Linked DNA regions of Caenorhabditis elegans. The protein of the gene in region 1 purifies or fractionates together with the protein of each later gene. This does not show direct contact. Each region holds a gene or a part of one and is shown on either strand. Other genes may lie near its edges.

The links. The genes of interacting proteins can lie anywhere in the genome.
Region 2: the proteins of E04F6.9 (region 1) and R102.2 fractionate together in Caenorhabditis elegans (co-fractionation; one large-scale study listed by BioGRID). This does not show direct contact.

The regions. Positions count from the first base shown.
Region 1 is NC_003280.10:7,209,993-7,216,613, forward strand, and holds E04F6.9 (Periplasmic protein), read right to left. Parts: upstream 2,168-6,621; 5' UTR 2,165-2,167; coding exon 2,081-2,164; intron 2,035-2,080; coding exon 1,810-2,034; intron 1,766-1,809; coding exon 1,688-1,765; 3' UTR 1,633-1,687; downstream 1-1,632. Other genes in the region: E04F6.15 (DeHydrogenases, Short chain), read right to left, coding at 1-91, 221-277; E04F6.8 (Cuticle protein), read right to left, coding at 806-880, 927-1,151, 1,301-1,387; E04F6.10 (uncharacterized protein), read right to left, coding at 4,843-4,995.
Region 2 is NC_003282.8:10,684,427-10,690,757, forward strand, and holds R102.2 (DUF4440 domain-containing protein), read left to right. Parts: upstream 1-3,180; 5' UTR 3,181-3,221; coding exon 3,222-3,225; intron 3,226-3,274; coding exon 3,275-3,648; 3' UTR 3,649-3,709; downstream 3,710-6,331. Other genes in the region: K08C7.6 (GLPGLI family protein), read right to left, coding at 41-226, 293-433, 481-699, 753-856, 1,158-1,290, 1,343-1,417; R102.1 (DUF4440 domain-containing protein), read left to right, coding at 2,163-2,166, 2,246-2,619; R102.8 (TransThyretin-Related family domain), read right to left, coding at 5,190-5,310, 5,356-5,559, 5,603-5,769; R102.3 (F-box domain-containing protein), read left to right, coding at 6,068-6,331.

The DNA of each region.
Region 1 (6,621 bases):
AAATCAATGCTTTAGCAGTCTCAACTCCGATCCCAGATGTTGTTCCAGTAATTGCAAATGTTTTACCAGAAAGGTCAATACCATCCAATACCTGAAAACGGATTCAATTATAGCAAGAATTTGAAACAGATTAAAAACACTAGGGAGTAGGACATCATCGAATTTTTAAAACTTAAATTTAGGAAATTGATGAAACATTTAATACTAAAAGAACGCTTACTTCTAGTGCATTTGTTCTTGAATGAAACTGCCGTTTCCTCTTACCATCAGCAACCATTCTGAAAATGAAAAAATTGATGAGTTTCTGAATTTCCTGTTTTATATTGAGAAATTATGATGTGAAGTTCAATGAATATTGGTAAAACTGTAGCTAAATTGACATATTTATCTCTATATTCATGTCATATTTTCAGGTGAAACGAGGAAAATGATCGATGCAAGTTGAATGATTTTTCATTTTCTTATCAGTAAAGTAGTACTTTCGAATAAGAAAAAAACTTACTATAAGATTCGCCTTATTGGAATTAAAAATCACACTAATTTCCCTATTTGTCTTGCGGTTTAATTTTAAATAGCCGAAAAAAATAGTAAAAATAGAAATAGTGTTACAGAAAATATTTAACAGATCAGTGCGGAATTTGCTCTGGAGATATTTTAACAGAACTTTTTGTGGGCGTGAAACAGTTACTACATTCAAATTTCTTTTCCAAATAATGGTTAAATAATTCCTTCAAACAGGTTTTTACGAAATATTGCAAACAATTTATTGTTATTTAAAAGAATTTATTGAAACAGTTTTTAAAAGTTATTGAAGAGAAAGTTTGAGAACTGGCGCGGCAACTCCAGAAAATCCATGATCCGTTTTCGTTTTGATAATTTTCTGAAATTAATACTTTTTCAATTCGGGAATTTCAGGAATTCAATACCGTTGGATATTCAGAATATGATCCAACATCAGCTTTTGTGAACTTTTTGATGACCAAATGTCCGTTATTCTCTTCATAATTTGACGAGTCAATAGCTTTTCCATTAGCATCCACAAACACTCCTTTGTTTTCTCCTTCGAAATGGAAAATCTGTTCGCCAGCGTCAACGGATCTCTGGATTGCCTTGGCTCCTTTGAAAAGTTCAATTTGCACTTTTTCGCCATCCTAAAATGGAATTTGTAAAATACTACTTGGTATTTCAAAATAAGAAAACTTTTGAAGTTTCGAGTAGTTTTGAGAAATACATTTAAAATTTCCTGTAGAAGCATGAACAACAGTTTTTAAACTATTGTCAGATAAAAAACTTTACAAACCTTAACTTCTTGAACTGCAATTGATCCTTCTCCAAACTGAAGAACAAAGGCAATCAGTATAAACGAAGAAATCAAAAACCGGCTCATTCTGAAAATGATAAAAAAAATTTAAGGAAAGCTTTTATTGAAAACAATTCAAAAAGCTCCTGAAACAAAGTTTTCTCAGATGATTTTGAGAGAAAAAAGAATGAAGAAAGAAAACATCTCTAGAACCCATTAAATAGTGACGAATGAGACTTGATTTATTGGTCACCTGTTGACTGAATAGAGGTCACGCCTATTTCTGTTCTGACTCACATTTTTGTTTATTTTTGCAAAGTTTGCACGAAATTGTTTTAAAAATTTTATTTAGAGAAATTATTAGAACACATTCCGAATGAAATTTGTTTATTGCAGGGAGATATCAAGAGTGAGTCCTGGAACAGCGGAGATGGATCCATCAGCGTGCTTGGTTTCGGTGTTTTTCTGAAATAAAACATTTCTAATTATTTCTCCCACTGAAAACTTACAGCTGGGTGCTCGGAGTAGGTTCCAACATCGGCCTTGGTGAACTTCTTAATGATAAGGATTCCGTTATTAGCTTCATAATTGGTTGACTCAATCTTCTTTCCCTTAGCATCAACAAATGATCCCTTGTTATCTCCGTCAAGGTGGAAGATTTGATCTCCACCGGCAACGGTTCTCTTGATTGCCTTGGCTCCCTTGAAAGCATCGATTTCAACTTTTTCTCCGTCCTGAAAATGATTTTTTGTTATTTTTCAAATAGGAGTTACAACAAACCTTAACCTGCTGTTGAGCAACGGCAGCATCGGATATGGCAAAGATGGCAACAAGGAGGAAAGCGGAAAGAATGAAGCGGTTCATTTTCTGAAATTTTATTTAATTTTCAAGAATGAAAAAAGTTTTGTGAATTGACACGAAATTCAGAAGAACAATTGAAAGAAAAAGCACAAAATCTTAAAGTGATGAAACCTTTCTCTTGGAACAACAATAAATAGTGTCGTCAGCCAGAAGATACTGCCTTCGAATGAAAAAAATAGGGTAAGCACCTCCGCTGGTTAAACTAAACGCCCAGCCCACTTTGCAATCAATCACTTTGTTTTTATCATTTGTTTGTTGGCTAGAGTGAGAGAAAATATCCTTCTTGTTATCAGAGTTATACAAAAAATCCTACAGAGTTGGAACACGGAACTAGAAAATGAGGATTCGTTTCCTTAGACTGTTCAAAGAATGTCATTTGGAGAAGTATTGAAAATGGAACAATCAGGAAGTTTATTTGTTCTTAAGATCAATGTGAGAACACTATGAAAGTTCACAATGATGGGATTGAGAAGGTCGTGTTTTGAGGCGCGTAGCTTTTTTTACTGATAGATGTGAAGTTTACAGGATGTTTAGTCGATTTTTAATATGTCGTTTTTTAGTTGGAAAGATAATTTAATTGATAAATTAGAGTACTTTAGAGTTCCAAAAATTACTGATAATACATAATTATGCCTCAAAAAAATTACGTGTATGTGTAGTTAGCTTTACCGCTAATAAGAGTTTAGTAAATAAGAAAAGAGGTGAATCGAATGTGTCTTATCTGAAACCGATTTATGCCATTTTGTGGCCAAGCAAACTTTTATAGTCCCTATCTTAATTGAATTATGTTGTGATGGAAAGTAAGAAATCAATAGAGCGGAAATTTTCTTTTTTGAATTTTTTTAACTGATCAAAAACACCTTCTATATTTTTGATGAATTATTATTTCTAATTCACAAAAGACGAGATTGTGTGCTCAAGATTGAAACAGGTTTTAAAACAATCAATTTGAAGGCGAACTTGAAGGCGACTAATAATTTTTAGGACTAGAAAAAAAAACGGTCTTATTATCAGAATATTACAACGCATAATAAAAAATTTAAACATCAGATATAAAATATACGTTCTGTGAGTTAAATGAATAACGTTTCAAAGGCTGAGGCCTTACAGATTCTTCAGCTCTTTTTATACTCTACAAACTTTGTGTTATTCTTGAAAATTTTCCGACCTTCGGATCAGTTTCCGTCACAACAAGTGAATGAGTCAGTAACAACAGTTGACACTTTCATCGTTAAGATTCTTTTCTTATCGTTCCAACTCATAAAAATGGATGAAATGAATTGTGAAAACAGGATTTCGAAGTGTGGAAATTTTGAACATTCTTCTAAAAAGATCAAATTGATCTGAATCATCAGAGTATATGAAAAACGTACAAAAAGTTAAACAATCAGATGCATTTGTTTGATTATTTTGAAAACCTATCGTCTACCGAGATTGACCTAGGCTATGACAAAATGATAACAAAATAAATAAAACTGTTAATATTCATGTTTGCACAATCCATTACAAATATATATAAAAACTTTGCCATGAAGGAATTTTGAATTATCCAATAAGACTTCCTGAAACTTTTTGAAAGTGGAGTATTCTGGGGAATTTTATTAAACTTCACCATATCATTTCCCTTTAAGGGACTATTTTTTCAAGTGAATAACATGTCAGTGGTTGACTATCATTTCATTCCTGGATTAGTTGTTCCACATCGTCCCATGTACACCATCACTCTTCTTAGCTTGCCGCTTTTTTCGACGTCTTCTTCTCCTCCTTCCAGTCACATTCAAATCATCACCATCTATCATCAGTCGCCTTTTTTGGCTCACATTTTGTTGCTTTTTGCCCAGAAAAGGAATTTATTATTACCAGAAAAAAAAGGATTGGGATGAAGGAAAAAAGGGAAACATTTATGGAGGAAATATATAGCAAATGACAAATTGGCAGAATGTTTTGGAAATCGTACGGTAAAAAGAAAAGGAAAGAAGCATTGGGTCTATGTTGATAGAATGGAAAAACTAGAAAATTTATCTACCCGTAATGAATGAAGAGTTTTTGAATAAATAAATTGTCTTAAAGAAATAAAACTACAAACGTTTAATCACCAGCATCGAGTCTTCGCTAATCGTACGATCGATGGTTGGTATTGATGAATAAGAAGTCGATCGACGAGTAGTAAGAATTGGAGTACAAATTGAAAGAGTTGGAGATGAATGACGCCAATTGGATAGGGTTATTGTTGGATCATCGTCATCTTCAGATATTTCAATATCGGTCTGACAATCATCTTCCCGAAAGGAATATGTTGGGGCAGGTGATGCAGGAAAATGTAAAAATGTGGAAGGTCCTGAAATGAATGTTGGAAGAAGTTAGAAAGTTTTGTTCAGTAGGTCACAGTTTCCCCGCTCGAACCTAGTTAAACAGTATATCACAGTGTTTTAGAATTACACGAATGTTGTGTTCTGAGAAAATTGTTTCCTAATGACTTTCTTATTATTCATAAGTGTTACTTTGCGTTTCTTCTCACTCTCAGACTTGGATTATTTGTTTGTTTATACGCTTATTTGTTCTGTTCCCACATTTAAACTATCACTTCAAAAGTACCTGAAACCAATGAAGGAACCGATCCATCCAAACCCGTTCTCTCAGTCTCAATAACATCTACACACTCGCCAATCGGCTCATAGTCGTTACGTGATGGGATTCTTGTTGATTTTTTGATGGGTTGCCTGAGCGACCGGCACGCGACCAGACGGACCCCTTTCGAATCGATGTTCCAATTCGTATTCTCCACGTTGTCGCTGGCTTTGAAAAAACCGAATACACATGAAGATGGCTCCTCCCTGGAAAAGAACAGAATGAATTAATTGGTGTATGGCATGGTGGCAGCTTATTGGTAATCTCTCTTCTTGATTGATGAGGGGAGCATCAAGTCATTAATCAAACTAGGTTTTACATTTCTAATGTTGTTGGAATGCAATAGAATAAGACACCTGTTATAAGTTATACAATGAATGAAGAAACATATTTCGGCGGGGAAGATGTGTCAAGAGCGACCACAAAATGATTAATTGTCAGCTGATGCTCAGAGATTGTGGCATAATTTGATTGTTGGCTCGACAATTGGGAAATAAATTTTGAAAAAAAGAAAAAGAAAAAGAATAAAGAAAACGAAGTTTCAAAAAAAATTATTACACATTTGACTGACACCTCAAATGTGTATATGCAGAAGATCTGATGCTGTCAACTATACTAATTCAGAGTGCACATTTGATTTACTCAATTAGTTCAATCTTGGCAAAGCATGATATTCTTCATAGTATATAATCTAAGTTGTACAATTTTAATTAAAAAAACATAATAAAATTGGACAATATTTTCACTTTCGAAGGCTAAACTTCCTTTCCAATTGCCGAAGCTCTTTATTTATGTGTATGCTTTTCTACAAACATTCCCCAAATCAAATTGCAAAGTATCCTAAAATAAAAGATGGAATCAGGAATAAGTTGAAGAGGGGCGTAACAAATCCGTCATTTTCAATTGCTTAATGTTTTCTACTCGAGTGAACACCGTCATCAAAAGTGCGGTTGCTTGGTCCTAATGTACGACTTCTTCTAGGTGGTCCTTCTTCGACTTTTTCTTCACATTTTTCTACTATAGTTTTCTTTTTTTGAAAACAAAGAAATGCAAGTGATAGGAGAGGGTCTCTCCTTCCTATAATTAGTATCACCATGGTGTCAAGTCAATCAAGAGAGCCTCAAGGTGCCAATTATGCCACACATGAAGCACACCGACGGCCCTTGATCCATTTAGTACGTTTTTCAAATTCTCGAAACGCCAGCGACGAGCCTTATATCATCATGAAGTGAGGAACAAAAACACATTATTAAGAAAGTGGGTTCCGGATGTCAAAAAATGTGTGCAAAAAATTGAAAATAAAAATCAAATGCAACAGAAAACAGATGTAGGTGAACGAATTGAGTAAAGCGTGAGAAGAATGAGAATAGAAGCTACGGAAACGAGCCGACGCAATTTCCGCGTATATCAACTTGTTTTATTACTACACTTTCCGAGTTATTTTTGGGAAAAATTTGGACTATAAGAAGACAAAGATTATAAATATTTGTTAGAACATCGAGGGATTGAAAAAAATTTAAACTGCAAAATTCATGAAGTCTCGTTTGTTTTTGCAACTTTTCAGTGTCCTCGAAAATAGATAAGAATTTCACATTTGAAGACAACAGTGTGCTAACAATCTGACAAACTATTAACACTTCACGTTGTTACTGAGAAGTTGCAAAACGTTAGAAAAGTGGTTGAAACAAACAAGAAGTTTGACAGTAAGTTGGCGAAGTTGGGCAGAAAATTCCTCCATTTTTAGCATCTCAATAATTAAACAACTACTTTTGTTCAATTAAAGCTTCATGTCCAAGTTTCAATTAACTAGTTAACTACTCTAGATTTTGAAA
Region 2 (6,331 bases), on another chromosome or scaffold:
TCACTCATTAACTTTCATTTATTCCGAAATTAAATTTATATCACAGAGAAGTAAACGTATAAATGAGACCTTCCGGCGTCTTATAAGTTGATGCGGTAAAACGACCATTCTCAATAGTAAGTTGAAGAGTTGTTCCATTTTTCTCGAAGTAAAGATTCTCTGATTGTTTTTCGTCGTAAAGATGGATTTCCCAATTTCGAACAATACGATCTCCCTCGAGCCACTCCTGGAACATAAAAAATGTTACTTTTATTTTATTTGCAAACAGGTGTAAAACAAAGAAAAAACTAACCTTTCCGAATTCTTTCAAACTATCCGAATCTATCTCATTTGTCCCCTCCATGTAAAGTTCTGGAGCAAAAAACTTCAAAAGTCGTTTCCCGTTTACTCCATTTTTGAACTCCGTTGGCTGTTTGATAATCAACTTTTGTGTCTGAAAAATTACTAAAAAATGCCTAGAAACAGATTTAAATAACCCACATTTTGCAATGCTTCGAAATCAAAGTTATCGTCATCCAATTTAGCTTTTCCACCAATTTCAATCTGATACTCATCTCTCCCCATATTCTTTGTGAATCCAGTTGGAATTGTGAATGGAGCACTCGGATGCTCAACGACCCACTTAATCTTTTTAGGTGTTTGAGTTGTAGATAAAATAATTGAAGAAAACTTGGGCTTCATCTGGCTGCATAAGTTTTCCTAGAAATCTCTTAATATTATAATAATAGGTTTAAAACGTTTTTAGCGCTTACAAAGGCAATTTCATCAATTGTATATCTGTTCAGAATATACTCAAACTGTTTTCCAAGATGCCTCGTGATTGAAGAAGATTCATACCGTCTTGTTGATGGATCTTCTGGAAAATATTGAAACTCACTAAAAATGTGTTGCGATACAAGATTTAGTTTAAAGCCACCAGGTCTGTTTTTTTTTAATTTTTAGAATAAAATCGACTTAAAACGGAAAGGATAAATCTTAATTAAAGCGATGAGTCTTGTCGCATAAAATACTTTTTTGAGTGTGCTCTTTCAATTCAAAATTTGAGTTACTTTCTAAGTTTTCTGATTTTGTTCTCAGTTGTTTTTTTTAAGTTTCCAACTTTTTGGTATAATGTTTGGAAAGCTTAATAAATACACAGACAAATGTGAAATACTCACGCTCAAAAAACGGCTTCACCAACTTATAAATCTCTTCTTCTCTTAAATTTGCAGATCTATTCATATAAATATAACTTTCCCATTGCCTAGATCCATCGATAATCACTTTGAAGATTCCATACTCTTCAGGCCTCTGAAAAAATGTAATTGTAGTTTATTGAAAACTTTATGTTAATATGTATTACCCTAAAATACTGAATATGGATCGAATTTTCTGCAACAACTGTTGCACAAAACAAAAGGAATGTTAGGATAATCATATCAATCGAATCCGGAAAAATGAAATAATTCAGATCATCAAATAGATATCCGGCATGATGGCCACAACATGAAGAAAATCTCGATATCTCGGCGTCTCTGCAACTTCTGTGATGTATCCGTCAGTTCATTTTCTGCATCGAGAACAATTGTCGAATTGGAAAAGAGTGTGCATCTCGGGCAAGCACATGTTCCAGCTATACACATGCGATTGATCGATGCCCGAAAAATTGGAAAATTATTAAGAAAAAACGGCATGGCTAAAATATGCTTGAATATGCATAATTAACGTCACATTCATATATTCTTCGATTCATGTTTTTTCTTAATTAAATTTTAGAGTAACACCTGGTTTTCACGCTTTTGGGATTCCGGTATTCTTTTGATCTTTGGATTAATCTTTTAGATTCACAAGTTTGATCTATCGAAAAATGTAATGAATTTCCGGGAACTCCAAAAAGCACAAAAGTGTGTCCTTTTTCCGATTCAGAACCCCAATATTATAATTTTACATTACGAAAATCACATATTTTGTGACTAAGAGTCCATTCTATATTCCTTATATTCTCGAGATCACGCTTTTATGAAACATGATCGTCTGGTTTCCCATCTGTGGTTTGTGCCACGTTGCTTAGAACCAATTGTGCCATGACAACTGGAGCAGTATAAAAGAATAATGGCAAAAGTGGAAAATTCAGAAGCTCCATATTTTGACAAACGTCTTTATCTTCTACATCCAAACCAACAATGAGTAAGTTTTTCTTTGTTTTTTTCTGAATTTCCTTAGAATGTTTCCGTGCTTATGTACATTGAAAATTTTGACATTTCAGCCAAAGCTGAGTTCCAAAAAATCCACGATGAGATGAAGGCATTGAAAGCCGCCGGAAAGCAAGACGAGTTTGCTAAGAAGTTTGTTACCAAAGATGCCATCTTCATGGGTCCACTCCACGAGCCAGCCAATGTGAATGAAGCTGCCAAGTTTGCAAAAAGCGAGATGATGGCTGCCGTCTCAAAGGGAGAGTTCAATATCACTATTGACGAGATCACTCCAATCGGGGACGTCGTCATCGAGCGTTGCACCATCCACGCCAAGGTTGCAAGCGGGGACAAGACTGGATGGTCCCTCTGTGTCTGGGTCAAGGATGGAGGAGCATGGAAGATCCGTAACTCGTGCACCACGTTCAAGGTTGTCCCATCGGCATAAATTATCAAATTTTATTTGATTTGCTTTATTTCAACAGTTGTGAAATAAACCCATGTTAATTCAAAAGTCCACTTGATTTTTTTATTATTTTGTTTTGAAAATTCAGGAGATTTTGCACCGATTTTAAAAATTTAGCTATAAAAATTTTGATAAGTTATTAGTTCAGTATCAAGCATATATTATCCTCTTTGAACAAGTTTACTGGGAGTTTCGCGAGGATCTTCCTAGAGTCTAGAAATAATTTTTGTAAAGTTGAAAGTTCAAAAACCACTATATATAATGTTTTCAAGAGCCTAGTTTTTCATGGCACTTCCTTTGGGAAACTTCTTCTTCTGGTTCAGAAGCTCAAGTCACATAAACTACAAATGATACACTCTCCCTTGTGTGCTCAAAAGTTCAACTTCAAGCCCTATATTCTCATGGTCACATTTTTCGAAAACTTGATCAGTCGGCTTCTTCACTATGGTTTCTGCTCGTTGCTAAGCTTCAATTAAAACCATGGCAACGAGAGGAGTATAAAAGAACGGCTGAATGTATTGAAAACTTCAGTAGCTGCAAACAGGAGACCTTTGTCTTCACATCTACTGCTCTCCCAACTAGCCATGTGTAAGTTAAAGAATTAGTTTTGAAACTTTATCAAATGTTTCTCTTTCAGCAAAGGCCGAGTTCCAAAAGTTCCACGATGAGATGAAGGCATTGAAGAACGCCGGAAAGCACGATGAGTTCGCCAAGAAGTTCGCTGCCAAGGATGCCGTCTTCATCGGACCACTCCACGATCCATGCACCGCTGATGAGGCCGCCAAGTTGGCTCAAAGTGACAAGATGGCTGCTCTCGTCAAGGCCGATTTTGACGTCAAGATTGACGAAGTCACTCAAATCGGAGATGTCGTCGTCGAGCGCTGCTCCATCAGCGCCAAGTTGCCAACTGGCGACAAGAACGGATGGTCACTCACCGTCTGGGTCAAGGAAGGAGGAGCATGGAAGATCCGTAACTCGTGCATCACCTTCAAGGCTCCAATCCCACAATAAATCATGTATTCATTGATTTTATTTATTTCTACAGTTGTGAAATAAAAACCGTGTTAATCTGAAATTTGTTGTGTTAATTGTAGTGGCTTCAGAATGATAACCAGTTTTCAGAAAAAAGAACAAAAGTTGGATATAATTTAGGCTGCTTTAACTCAATGTTCTTTCAGGCCTTAACGTCTACTAGAAATCATAGTTGAAAAGTTCTAGAAACCAACAAATTTGCTCCAAAATATGGGAAAAAAATCTAACACGCTAATTTCTGTTTACGGTCTCAAAATAAATGTCGTTTTCCTTTTCTACAAGTTGGACTAAAAATATATAATTGTGGCTTTCAGAAAAAAATTAATTTATGTTTTCAACAATTTCAGTAATAAACACCTGGAAGTAGCTCAACAACATTTTCAGCTGGCTTTTCAAATATAATTCCCAGGCTTCCAGATGAAATAGATTCTAAATTTCAGAGCACAATTATGTATCCAATTAACAGCGGAAAATTGAATTTGAACCGGCTTTTGATAAGTCAGGCACTACTTTCGCGATAGGATGAATCAAGCAACTTCAACATGACCGCACTTCTACAACAAGAAAGGAAACTCTATAACGTAAGAGTTCTATGATCAAAGGTTACAATGAACTTCCAATAAACCCGTGGAATAACCTTTGCGACCATTGCGTGGAAGGTCATATCAGATGTCTATATAAGGAGGAGATTGTGGAAGAAACACCAGTTCAGATTTAACTCAAATGAACTCTCTTTGCTTTGGAGATCGTCTGATGTTGTGTCAATAAAGTTTTTTATTAATAATGATGTGTAAGAGCGATGCCACTGAACCGCATTCGCGACAACTACATATGCTATATATCAGATTTTGGAGCCACTCGAGAAAAGTAATCAAGCTGCATTGCGCTCTTTGTCAAAATTTCAGAAATATTTCTTACTGCTGAAATGTGCATTTAATGTTACACTTTTTCGTAAAATTCGTTTAAAAAGTCTATAACCTAGGGATTGAAGTACAAGTTTTATGTAGTTGTACTTTGCCCGTGTTGATGTTGATCACAAATATCTTACTCACGCGATATGCTTCCAAGAAATATGTGATTTCTGAAAAAAAGAAGCATGAAACCATGGTTTCATGCTTCTTTTTTAGTGGTTAACCACTATAAACACATTCATTCGCACGAAGAAACAAAAATATGTTTTGCAAGTTTTGTTCGAAGAGGCAGAAACCACATGAATATTGGGTTTGCAACTTTCGGTTAGAACAAGGCAGATACATCTTCCAACGTAGATACCTCCCTCGTGCTTGCTTGCTTACATGCCTACCGAATAAACTTTAGTTCTCGGTGGGCGGAACAAGCTGGCATTTGTATGCTTACGTGAACATGAAAACAGATAGAGGGGAAACCGGAAAAATTGGAGAACCATGCAGTCACAGTGTCTTTCACAATTAGCACTTGCTAGTATTTTTCACCGTATACTTTGAAAGATTTTCCAAAAATTTTACTTCAGGTTTATATTAAAATTAACCACAGAAAGTTTATTACATGAGAGAAAAATCTGGGAACGAAGTGAAGTTTCCTCCAACAACCAATGCATCGGCTTGAATATTTTTCTCTCCTTGAGCTCCGGAAATGTCTTGAATAATACGATAATGGCAAGAACTGAAAGAATTAATTTTAATTATTACCTCAACATCGGGAACTTACTTCTCAGTCTTACATAACGTATTAACAGTTAAGACGAGTTCAACTTGTTGCGCCTTTTTGTGACAATCATGAGTTATATATGCAACTGGTTTATGTCCATCAGAAAAGGATTCGTCACCATCCATGGCTCCTTCCATTCTAAAGCTGAAGTTTCCCGGTTTTGGGTGGTAAAATTGTGGACGAGTGATCTGTTCCATTCCGGGCCTGAAACACCATGGTTTTCTAAGAAAGGTATGTTGAAACTTACATAGTATCATCTTCCCACCACTCAATGAGCAAATTGTACGTATCACGAGTTTTGTCATTGCAATAGACCGTAATGTCAAAAACGAAAGGATCCCATTTTGTTTTAGGAAATCCTGGAAACGCCGTTACATATGCCACTGTAATAAACAGGATGAGAAGTATACGCATCGTGAGCAAAACGTGGATGTAAAGACGATAAGTAGAAGGGTTGAAGAAATTATTGGATTCTGGTAAAACATAGGTGCTTTCACGTTTTTTGTCATCACTGAAGGTCAATTGATATTTTTTAATCCAAACTTGTATCATGTATTATGTATCAAATTTTAAGAAAAACCTAACCATTAAAAAATTATAAATAATTGTGCGTGAACTTGGAAAATGGATGTTTTTCGTTCTCCACACGTTCCCAACGAAATATTGTCCATAATCCTTATTACTTCTGTTTTGCTCAAGAATTGAGATAAGTATGGAAACCCCGATGCATGATGAAGAAGAATCGGATAGTCTCAATACTTCACATTTGTCGGACGTAGAGCTCGATGATCTTGTCACTACGAAGTTTGTTGAAGAATTCAAAAACTTGAAAATCGCGGACGATAGCTTGGAAGTTGTTCGGGATGTTGGATCACCACTCAATCAGGCATTGAGTCCAATTGAACGCCGAAATAGTGATGAATTCTTATTGGAAGATCATCCAAGTCTTGTCAGACCAATCAAAGATATTTTTCAA